3 linked regions of the Oryzias latipes genome follow. The protein of the gene in region 3 purifies or fractionates together with the protein of the main gene of each other region. This does not show direct contact. Links are inferred from orthologs where the notes say so. Each region holds a gene or a part of one and is shown on either strand. Other genes may lie near its edges.

Region 1 (4,350 bases), on a different chromosome or scaffold from region 3:
TGTGTCTATAAGATTAACTGACTCCTTGGGTTATTTTTTTTTTATCAGACATGGTTTGTGTTTTGTCAGGACCCTAAATATTTGGACACAGACACATTTTTTTCTAATTTAGTTTCTGTAAATTACCACAGTGAATTTTAAATCAAACAACTCAGATGCCATTGAAGTGCAGACTTTCAGCTTTTATTCCATGGGTTGAACAAAAAGACTCCATAAAAATGTGAAAAACTAAAGCATTTTTTAAACACGATCCCTTCTTTTCATGGGCTCGTAAGTAATTGGACAAATGAAATGGTCATTACTAATATTTGGCTTAAAATCCTTTGTTGGCAATGACAGCCTGAAGTCTTGAACTCATGGACATCACGAGATGCTGGATTTTCTCCTTCTGAATGTTCTGCCAGGCCTTTACTGCAGCGGCTTTCAGTTGCTGTTTGTTTGTGGGCCTTTCTGTCTGAAGTTTAGTCTTCAACAAGTGAAATGCTGCTCAATTGGGTTAAGATCAGGCGACTGACTTGGCCATTCAAGAATATTCCACTTCTTTGCTTTAATAAACTCCTGAGTTGCTTTGGCTGTATGTTTTGGGTCGTTGTCCATCTGGATTATGAAACGCCACCCAATCAGTTTGGCTGCATTCACCTGGATCTGCGCAGACAGTCTGTCTCTGAACACCTCAGAATTCATTAGGCTGCTACTGTCCTGTGTCACGTCATCAATAAACACTAGTGTCCCAGTGCCACTAGCAGTCAAGCATGCACAGACCATCACACTGCCTCCATCGTGTTTTACTGATGATGTAGTGAGCTTTGGATCATGAGCTTCTCCACGCCTTCGCCATACTTTTCTCTTGCCATCATTCTGTTAGAGGTTGATTTTGGTTTCATCCAAAGAATGTTTTTCCAGAACTGTGCTGGCTTTTTTAGATGCTTTTTAGCAAAGTCCAATCTAGCCTTCCTATTCTTGAGGATTATGAGTGGCTTGCATCTTGCAGTGTACCCTCTGTATCTACTTTCATGCACTCTTCTTTTTATGGTAGACTTGGATATTGATACGCCTACCTCCTGGAGAGTGTTGTTCACTTGGTTGGCTGTTGTGAACGGGTTCTTCTTCACCATGGAAATGATTCTGCAATCATCCACCACTGTTGTCTTCCGTGGCCGTCCAGGTCTTTTTGCGTTACTGAGTTCACCAGTGCTTTCTTTTTTTCTCAGGATGTACCACACTGTTGATTTTTCCACTCCTAATACTGTAGCAATTTCTCGCATTGTTTTTTTCTGTTTTCCCAGCTTAATGATGGCTCCTTTCACCTGCATGGAGAGCTCCTTTGACCGCATGTTGTCTGTTCACAGCAAACTCTTCAAAATGCAAGCACGAGTCCTCTAATCAACTCCAGGCCTTTTATCTGCTTCACTCATAATGACATAACAAGGGAATTGCCCACACCTGCCCATGCAATAGCATGGAAGTCAGTTGTCCAATAACTTATTAGCCCATGAAATGAAGGGATTGTGTTCAAAAAATGCTTTAGTTTTTCACATTTTTATGCAATCTTTTTGTTCAACCCATGGAATAAAAGCTGAACGTCTGCACTTCAATGGCATCTAAGTGGTTTTATTTAAAATTCACTGTGGTAATGTACAAAAACTAAATTAGAAAGAATTTGTCTATGTCCAAATATTTATGTTCCTGAATGTACCTGACACGTTTCGGCGGAATCACTTCTGCCTTCATCAGACTCGTTATCAGGTGGTGGTGTTGTGACAGGTGGAGCAGAGGAAATACCATTATTATAAATAACAGTATTTCCTCTGCTCCACCTGTCACATCCCCACCACCTGATCACGACTCAGATGCCGCCAAAACATGTCAGGTATGTGAAAAAACACAAAACGTGTCTGATTAAAAGAAAAAATAACCCAAGAAGTCATGCATTTACTGCAGTTTATCACGAGGTGATGGACTCTGAGAAAACAGCTAGTAAAAAAAACACATATTTTTTACACTGATAGGAAACTATTTGTTGAAAAAAAAATGTTTTTTTCAATTGATGTTGCCAGAAAAAAACACTAGTAATAATAATATTTTCTCCACATAAATCAATGCTTTACTCCTAAATCTTTGCTGAGGATAAAACTAAGTATGTAGGATGGCAATCTGCTTTAGTTACTTAAATACCATCTAACAATTATATTTAAAAAATGATGACACAAAAGATTGATCTAAAAACTTAAGACTTTCTTTTCAAATTTCACCTCCCGGCGATGCTAACTCCTATATTCCCGGTTGCCATGTCAACCAGCCCATAACAAGAGATATCCAGCTTTCTCTTTCACACAAATATAAACACAAAAATCATTTAAAAATATATATTTCTTAAATACAAATTAATTTTCGTGCACTTTGTTTTCTATTTTAAACGATGAACTTAGCGTACAGAACAACAAGAACGAACTCCGTGATAAATAGTGGAATAATTTAAAACATTAAAAAAATATATTTAAAGGGTTGAATGTGTAGCAAATAGTCATAAATGGGAGTCAAGTGTAGGAATTAATGTTGACTAAATACTCATTTATAACTGTTACATGCTAGCACTGCTAGCATCCTAACACTGCTTACAAGACAATAATTCTTATCTATACATACACAAATACGCTAACGGTATGCGGGATTCTTGTGTTTCATTATGTCCAATAAACTAATGCGCATTTGTATGTAAAAATAGAATAGAAAGGCGTAAAAAGGGCTCGTAAACCCGTTTTGCAGTTGCTACCTTTGTCGTTGTGTGGGACGCCGACATGTTTCCCCGAAGCACGTCGGCTGAACGTGCTACGTCACAGCTCCAGCCCCGCCCCTTCGAAGCACACTGATTCCGAATCACTGATCAGAAACCAGTGTACGTGCTCGTGGCTCGTGGCCGTTTTCCACAAAAAGTTGCGCGTGGAAACCGATTCGAAGTCGGTTTCGTATGTCAAACTGGCGGTCTGTGATTCATTGTGATGAATTTCACTCTCTACGGAGAAACGAGGCGATAGAAGTAAACACAAAAAATCGAGGGCAGTAGCACAGCAGCGGCCACGAGATGAGATCATGTTGTCAGCAGTGTGCCTTCGGAGTTGATTCTTCTGTTTGAGACGCTACAAATCACCGAACACCACGAGACAAAGGTACGTATAGAAATAAGCGCAAAGTTTCCAAAAATTGTGGAGCTTTGGTTCTGTGGCTGGGAGCCGATCCTCTTTGGATCGGACCGTAGATTTTAGGCACGAGCGTTTAGTTGGTAGCTAACGTTAGCTAACAGTCGAGGAGGTTAGCTAGTTTAAGGTAAAACAAATTAATAAAAATGTGTGATTTGTATTGTTTGTTTGTTTCTATCTCTAAAAATTGAACCACCTAGGTTAAGATAACACATGTGGATTACCTACACTTTCCTAATCTTCTTTTACTCCCAGATTAGCTATCTTGACTAACCTTTCTTCCCGAGGCTACCAACTTTGAATGCTAAATCGATATTAGATACACGTGATGCAAAAATAATTGTATTTAGTTACATTTTATTATTACACCAGGCAAGAGTAATAATAAAAGCTTCTATTGCGTTTTAAATGGAAAAACTCGTGTTGTTGATAAACAGTTTATTTTCCCTTTAAATTTGGCCAAACCAACATTTCTGGTTTTTCAATTCAAATCTAACTTTATTTGTAAAGCAATTTTCATGCCCACAGAACAGTGTTTTATATGATAAAAACATTTTTCAATTTAAAAGAAAAACAAAGAACTTATCACACAAAAATGAATACAGAAAGGTGTGTTATGTTTGGAAAATTAGCTTTTACATTTGTTTGATTTTGTGCATTAGTGACTTCCTTTCAGATAACTGCCTTTGCAGCTATAACATCTGAAATGAGAGATTTTTACAAACTTATTGGGAATGCTTGACCTTTCCGTTTAGGTCATAGGTTTTGCTCTATTTCGTCCCAAAGGTGTTGAGTTGATGTCAGGACTCTGTGCAGATCCGATCCATGTCTTTGGTGGACCCTGCTTTTGTACAAAACCAGGCGCTCATGCGCTCATGTTGCCACAGGAAGCCACCTTCCCCAGACTCTCCTCATAGGCTTGGAATTGTCCACGTCTCTTGGTATGTTGAAGCATTCAGAAGACCGTTTTTCTGGAACAAAAGGGCCAAGCCCAGCTGCTGAGAAACATCCCACGTTAGGACATCATAACAAATGCGGTTCTTCTGGCAACTGCCAAACCGAACTCATCAGATTGAGAAGTTAGCGTTCAAGAATGCACATCTCTACTGCTCCAGATCGAAGTTTTTTCCTCTGTTCATCAGCTGAAAGCCAC
Region 2 (4,272 bases), on a different chromosome or scaffold from region 3:
GCTCATTGAAAACCACACAAGCGTAAAAAAAAAAAAAATCTATGTAATTCATGTAACTAGAAGGATAAGGCAGGAAACAGGAGCACAGAACGTCCTGAGAAAGGAGCAGAGGTAATGCAAAGAACAGCACAAACTACAACAGTTACTGAGCTTCATCTTCTGGACAGGAATGCCACGTCAGTCGCTCCTCATAGAAGGATATGACTACCTGAGGGCAGCGAGTGTTGGCTTCACGGGCCGGGACCAAATCCGCTTCGTCGGAGTCTTTCCTGTAAAAAATTAAACAGCGTTACACAAATGGAAAAAAAAAACATTCAACATAAAACTACTTTAAAAAAATTAGTCATATGATATTCCACAATAAATAACATCTTTCCACAATGTTTCTTTTGTGAACCAACCAATGAAGTTAAGAGAAAATGTGAACAACGTTCAAACTAGAAGTTTTCATTCTGGGCCAAATTGTACTGCTCACCTAAAACAAGTTTTACATTAACCCCTCCCTATGCTGTGGTTTATCTATCGCTGCTTCAAATTTTTATAAATATCTTTGCATGTTTATTTTGATTGCCCTCTGGATCCTGATTGGTTGATGACCATGTCATCCATCTCCTCCCTCCCATGTCTCCTGTACAAATGCGTTTAGCTTGCCCATTACAAACATCTTCCATTGTGACCAGATTTTTGTCTGCTTTCTAAAATATTGGACTTATTGTCTTATTTGAGAGTTTAAACAAGAGAGAAAAGTGTGAAAATGTTTGTTTGTCTGAGAAAAGTGTATAAAGTGTGTAGTGAGGAGTTTTACAATGATAATCCTATGAACCAGATTTTAAAGTGGGATGTTTATCTTATAATTTTTTTCATTTCATAAACATCTTTTAAAGGTTCTGTCTAGTAGACAGTCAGAGACATTCTATAAAAATGTACCATTTCATCAGAAACATTAACTCCCCGCTACTGTCAGTTGCTCCAATAATTCGCTCTGGCTCCAGGTTTCTGGCAAAGCCACGTGGTTTCTCAGCCTAAAGTGGAAGCACATGAACATTCAGAAAACAGTTTTAAAATGGAAGAATGACTAATTAGAACTGAGCTCAAAGTACTGCAATGACATTGTGACATACCATGTCTTTCTTCTTGGGCTCTGTCTCTGGCTCATCTGTGGAGGCTTTCCTTTTAACAGCAGCAGGCTTCTCCTTAATATTCTTTTGTGATTCCAAAAATGCAGAAATCAGCTCAGGACAGTCCAGGTTCTCCTCCGGCTCCCAGGTGTTGTCAGCACTAAATAGTTAAGAGGGCTGTGATCAATTGCATATAAATCATGACTTTTAAAAAAAATGTAAAGCTAACAGGATGCGGAGAACACTAGCAGCTTCATGCAAAAATGACTTTACTACATGTTCAGAACAATCTGAAACCAATCAGATCCAAATGATCTGGGTTATCAAGTGATCAGGGCAATCTGGTGTTCTTTAAAAAATAACAAGACTGGTCAAGTTATGAGAAAATTGTCTAAAGCATATAATCTGGTGTCTTCTTGCATGTAAATGAACTATTTGTAATTTTGGTTTACGTTATATGGGTAGTTACAGCGTGAGTGGAAAACAAAGAAAAAGGGCAGATGCTTGCCACATTCGAGCCAATTGTCTTGTTCTTTTCCTGAAGTATTCAGCCCATTTTGTATACCCATAAGCCAGAAGGAAAATCGAGGCCAAAAATTTGGCTAATTTTAGCTAAATGAAAGCTCAAGTTAAAGGAGGGGGAGGGGTCAAATTAAGAATCATAGTATAAATGTACAAAAACTTTAAAATTGGATCTAAGGCTCATGCTAATCTATTGTAAATGTCTGATTCCTTAACCACATAAAAATGTGGTAACAGAGTAAACAGGCCAACCCCCCTTCCCCATTCTAAAGAACTAGCTGGAGAGGCTCCAGTTAACTCACTCTGTAAATCCTTTCCACTTCAAGTAGAACTCTACTTTCCCATTGACGAGACGCTGGTCGAGTACTTTTTCCACAACAAATTCTTCTGGCTCTTCCTGCGTGTCCTGTGAGTCCTTCTTACTCTTTGTATTCTGCTTCTTGCCCATTCTGGCCTCTAAAACCAAGAGGAAGGAGAGTCAATTGCCGATGTATCACGCAACTGCCCTTTTCCACTTCACCTGTAGGACCCACATTTAGCAGAAAGGCTTGTACCGTAAATATAAAGGTGTACAGCATGTGTGTGTTTAGTTTTTCCAACTTTTTACGACGGACGCGACTCGGCCACGTTCACTCCGCAAGTTTTCCGTAAATGGTACTAGCGTCCTTTGGGTTAGCCAACATGCTAACGTAGCCAAAACAGTTTGAGGCCATGGTACCATTGTTTATATCTTTTTACTAAAAAGGAACATCAACATGCTACAAAAACGTGTTTTCTTTAGATCTTACCTTAACGCCTCAAATAATTACAACAATACAGCAATATCGACACCCAACAAAAAAACGAAAGATTGTTCGTGCTAGTGTTAAGTTAATAGCAATAGCAAAACGAGACAATCAACAGTCTAAAACTAAAAGTATACTATTCATACAACACTCGGGCTTGATAAACTTAAAAAGCTTGAGCTGTGAAGAGTCAAATACAAATTCTGTTCGGTTCATTGCATTCATTTCTATGATGAAGAAGTTAGCTTAAATTACTCCTTACGTCTTAGTTATTTAAGAAAAAAAGTTCAAAAACAAAGAGATGAGATGCAGCATTTAATACCGGTAAACGTAGCTTACATACCTTGTAAAGCCTAGAAAATGACCTCGGTGACGACTTATTCAACCACGCGGTCACTGCCTGTCTTTATGTACAGATGAAGAAAGGAGGGTGCGCGCCAAACGCAAAAGGCGAGTAGGCTACGGAAGCCCGTAAGGAAACAATTTGCTTTAGAGCACTTGTGACTCTACGGTGTCCTGTTAGTTTATTTTTACGTCATTTATTTTTTCTCAGTTTATATAACGGTTTATCTCACAATCTTTAAAATATGTTTTTTCATTTTAAATGAAAAATGAGAATACACGAGTAAAGCTTTGCAGCATGTTTAAAACATTGACACATTTCTATCGTTTTCACTAATAAAGGAACAGCTTATAGTTGTTTTTGTGTTTTAAATATTCTGTATGTCTTGAGTTTTTTTGATATTGACGCTTACAAATGACTTCTGAGCTAAAATAAACTCGTGTTACTAAAGAATACTACAAAAAATGTTTATTTTATGCAAACCAACTTACCTGCTATAGAATGATCTACAGAATTTGGGTGCATAGAATCCTAATAATAAAGCCCTAAATAAAATAACAAATACACAAAACAATATTGTGTCAGTGCAGTTGTATTGATTGAGTGTGAAAAAAATTAAGTATCAGTGTTTAAAGCTGTGAAAATTATTTACTGTCTCAATGTGATTATCAAATGTAAAGTGATTCATTTTCAGTAATCTTTACTTGATAAATATAAGGTTGTCTGTTAAATTTAGTTACACTAAAGCAATACCTTTGCTATAAGTGTGAAGGCGAAATAAAATGATCTGTGCTTCAGTCTACACTTTTGCAATCCAAATGTTTCTATTTTTTTATTTTTATTTGCAATAGTGAACAATATCTTCTACACCAAGTGAACCGAGTTAGTAAAAAATTCTCTGCTAGAAAAATTGTAATTTTGTCAAAATGTCTTCTTTACCATTTTTGACAATACCAAATAACTACAGCACTGGCCAAATGGTGTGATTTGAGTTGTACTTGGATTAATAATAATAATAAAAACTTAAAGCACTAGCAAAGTACTTAAGTTAGGAGAAAGACATTCACCCCACTTTAAAAAATGCTTAGACTTAAAGGTACACATAAAATGTGAACAATAATCTTATATTTATCAGAAAAAACAACAAGAATGCCACTTTCTTTTTTTATTCAGAGTAAACAAATCCCCCAAAAGCGCCTAAATTCTTCAAGAAAAACCATACTATCAGCAATCAACAAGCAAACAATCAAAAAACAAGAAAGACACACATTTGCGAAACTTAGAGACAGAAAAGTAAACTTTAAGCTAAACCAGGAAAAGAAAAATGTCACTTCATGCACTCCACAATTATTTCACACACTTGGCTGACTTTGTAAAGCTGTGAACCCATAGTTTTCATAGCAATCCCTTTGCATAATGACAAATATTTAAAGGGTTACATCTTGCCTTGCTGATAGATTTTTTAAGTAACTGGACAGCTTATCTGTTTGGGGTCACAGTAATA
Region 3 (3,652 bases):
GAAACTAGTGACAATCCCACACAGTCACTGCCTGGAAGTAAACTCAAATCTACAAGGTAGCAATTCTCCCCCAATAGAGCGGGGTCTATCAGATATATTCTCCAAAATTTTGGAATAGCCCACTAAGAATCTTGGAATCCAGCTTGAGAAGCTGTTTGCAGGTAAGACCATCTCAACCATTTAAACTGACTTGTGGCAAATCCTGGTTGAAGTTTGGAACATTTTAGGACATTTTCATGGCACTGTAACTAGCATGAGGACAAGGTTTTTGTAACTTCAGTCATCCAATCCATCAACCACCAAACAAATAAATGACAGAGCAAGTTATTTGGCACTGGAAGAGACGAGGCAATTTTTTCATGGAAGCAACCCATAACCTCTTCTTTGGTCATCCCACAAAAACATACCCTTTACAAACATGGTACTGACTGTTAAAATGATAAGAATGATTAACAGCCATTACAACAATAAACTTTTTTTTGTGCAGAATCATTGCTACAACAAAAGAATTATCTATGGAAACAAATGCTTACTTTTCATGCTTCGTTGAAAAAGAAGTGTATTGGTTTGGCTCTTAATAAAGATGGTAACAAGTACAGAAATGTTGTACTTCTAATAATCAAACTGCTTCTACTAAACAATGTTGGTAAACTGCAGATAATGATTCTTAGTTACTTATCATCAGATCTTCTTTGTTTTATTCAGTGTTATTTCAGATCATCCACATTTCGTTTAATCGTGTTACTTTCTGCGTTCAGATATACGTCTTGTGTTTTTGTGTGTAATGGGTACCTTTTCTCAGTCGACGGAAGGCTGCAATCTTCCTTCGAATACGCGGCCTCCTGTCTTGTGATGCCACCTGCTCAGCAGAAACAATATGGCGTGCATTGTAGCTTAATCCAACCCTATGAAGGTGTCCTCGTATATGATTGGAAAGTCCAACACCAGACTCAAACACAGCCGGACAGTATGGACAATTCTTCTGGCCGGATTCTAATTCTGACAGATCATCTTCAAGGGATTCCCCCAATGGTATTTGGTGGGACTCAAAGGTCTCTTGAAAAACCTCTGTTTCAATGGATTCTTCTTTAATATCTGGGATGCTTTGTTCTTCATCTTCTGTCTTTATCTTTTCAAACAGCCGTTTAGAAGTATGTAGAGCGTCTCTCATGGACATCCTTCTACTATAAGTATAAATGATACTTTTTCTTTCTTTTTCAATACTATTTTCAAAAAGGGTACTACTGGCGTGTGACTCATTGATCTGAAAAATGTTGTTTTCCTCACAGTCAGAAAACTCTTCCTCTAGGTTTACTTTATTGTTACCTGCTAAATGTTTTGGTAAGATGAAGTATGAGTCTTGATCAGAGGTGTTGCGATATGGGGTGGACATCTTCCGTTTTGACTGTGACTTCTTGAAGGAATTTTCAACATTAAGCTTTAGGCCGTTTTCAGACGTAGCAGAATCTTCCACTTTGCTAGACAACATTTCTAGAGAATCACAATCATCAAAGTTGTCAATTGTGGAATCCTGAGCTTTTGCACTACAATTATTGCCTTCTTTCTGATCTGGACATTTTTTTCCCTGGCTTTGTCGAGACAAGAGAACATTAATCGATCTATCAAGTTTTGATTCTGTTGACGGAGTCTTGGGACCTTTCTGAAGCTTGCTGCTAAACAAGTCTGAAATGTCAGTGGACTCATCAGGAGTTCCTTTAGAGAAGTTTTGATTTTGTTTCGTGAAATTAGTTGTAAACTCTTTTTGTGCAGTAGAAGCCTTATGAGATGTGACCTTGTGGCCATGAGATTGAGTGACCTTGCCATTGTTCTGTGCTTCCATATATTCCGTCAAAGTCATCTGATGACGTAGAACTAGGTGGTTATGAAAAACATGTTCAGCAAAAGCTTTATAGGAACAAAGGGTACAGGGGAAGCTTTTGGAATCTTTGCTCTGTAGCTGCTTTTTACCTGTAACAGTAGGGTGCTTCGTAGTCTCGTGTTTTCTGAGTTCATTGTAACTTAGTGTCTTAAAACTACATCTGTCACATCCAAAATTCCTCTTTTCTTTTTCATGTGTTTTTGCGTGTTGGACAAATGTGTTTGGGCAATTCGTTACGAATGGACACTGAGGACAGAAAAGCTTCTTATTATATTTTTTCCTATTGCCTTTGATGTCTTCTGTGTGTCTTGTTTTCTTTACCTGGTGGGTTGCTATGTGATCAGCAAGTGCATTGCTTTGTTTGAAAGACTGCCCACATTCTTCACAGGTAAAAGGCTTTGGTGAAATACCAGGAGGGTCAACATGAGATTTCAAATGACGAAACAAGTGTTCTTGTTTCTTGAATACAAGCTTACATTTTGAACATGAGTAAGATGGAGGCTTCTCCTTAAATTGAGAAAGTCCACAATTTAAACTGTTTTCATGTGAAATTCTCGCAGGTGCTTTATGTAGCATTTCTTTAATGGCAGTTGCAGATCCATTGGGATACTTGGAAGGCTTCCCTGTTGGTGATGTTGGGGGTTTGAAAAGCTTTGGTGTCTTTCTGATAGGACTTGTATCAACCTGTCCTTCAATATCAGATGATTCATCAAATGACTTAGAGCCCAGAGCAGGGTACAAGTCTTCTGATGGATCCACCATAACAACCATGTCCATTTTCCGTTTCCTTCTTTGTCTGTCTGTTGGACTGGTTTGCTCTTTAGTTTCCTCTTCAGGGGAATCGCTATGATTCTCCCACAGAAACTCCATAAAATCTTTGTGAGGGCCCCAACTAAGGGCACTGACACTACCAAAATCATCCAATGAGTCATCTGGAGACTCCGCATCAAAGTTCCAGATTCCTGCAGTGTCTATCTCCTGCACAGTTTTTAGTGTGGTGATGCTTTTTTCCTCATCTTTCTCAACAGATAAGCTATTGTGTTCAATGGCTTGTGAGGCCTGATGCATAGAAGGTCCATTTCCCTGGTCATCAGAAGACAACACTTCCACGTTAGAGAGAACATCAAGGCCACTTTTGTGATGCGTAGCAGGCGTGTTTAAAGAATCAGTGCAAGATGATTGGTGTGCCATTCTCTCTGGCTCCTGCAGTGGCATGAGAGCACTGATTTCAGAATCTGCGTCTTTGTCATCTTCATCAACACCAGACTGACATGACATTTCCATTGCAATAACCTGAAAAAGAAAAGTAAAGCTTTGTGAAACATCGCCTAATCATAAAACTGTAATCATCAGAGTTCCTATGCAAATGATAAAATATCAACTTTTTTTGGTTCACACAAATTGGCTGCAAAAGGAATCAGTCCTTATCAGAAAGAAAAGAGAAATGTAGAACTATATTAAGGGCAAGATAAACATGTGGTGGGCTGGTTTCATTTGGCATGTAGTGCTGAAAATCTTCACACATTCCTAGCATAATCCCATGGAGTTGCTTCAGATGAGGGAGGAATGCTTATTATTTTCACACCAACATTTAGGTTTGATTGCTGATAGCTCTCTAAAAATAAGAAAATTATTGAAAACTAGAAAAATCATGTTTTGCCAAAAGAAATCCTGATAAGGAAAGAAAAAGATGGTCTAAAAAGTTAAATGGGGAATCCTCAAGCCTCTGACTACCAACTATTGGGTTCCTTTCACAAAGGAATTGTACTGTTG

The links.
Region 1: the proteins of znf644 (region 3) and ehmt2 purify together in Homo sapiens (affinity purification with mass spectrometry; 3 studies listed by BioGRID and IntAct, with this or other methods). This does not show direct contact. The link is inferred for Oryzias latipes from reciprocal best matches to the Homo sapiens genes ZNF644 and EHMT2.
Region 2: the proteins of znf644 (region 3) and chromobox protein homolog 3 purify together in Homo sapiens (affinity purification with mass spectrometry; 3 studies listed by BioGRID and IntAct, with this or other methods). This does not show direct contact. The link is inferred for Oryzias latipes from reciprocal best matches to the Homo sapiens genes ZNF644 and CBX3.

The regions. Positions count from the first base shown.
Region 1 is NC_019869.2:5,431,844-5,436,193, forward strand, and holds the start of ehmt2 (histone-lysine N-methyltransferase EHMT2), read right to left. Parts: upstream 2,847-4,350; 5' UTR 2,801-2,846; coding exon 2,774-2,800; intron 1-2,773. UniProt on the Homo sapiens protein: Histone methyltransferase that specifically mono- and dimethylates 'Lys-9' of histone H3 (H3K9me1 and H3K9me2, respectively) in euchromatin.
Region 2 is NC_019869.2:11,215,307-11,219,578, reverse strand, and holds the start of chromobox protein homolog 3, read right to left. Parts: upstream 2,901-4,272; 5' UTR 2,769-2,900; intron 2,097-2,768; 5' UTR 2,089-2,096; coding exon 1,943-2,088; intron 1,279-1,942; coding exon 1,122-1,278; intron 1,023-1,121; coding exon 928-1,022; intron 270-927; coding exon 143-269; 3' UTR 1-142.
Region 3 is NC_019875.2:5,867,993-5,871,644, forward strand, and holds part of znf644 (zinc finger protein 644), read right to left. Parts: intron 3,173-3,652; 5' UTR 3,164-3,172; coding exon 793-3,163; intron 1-792.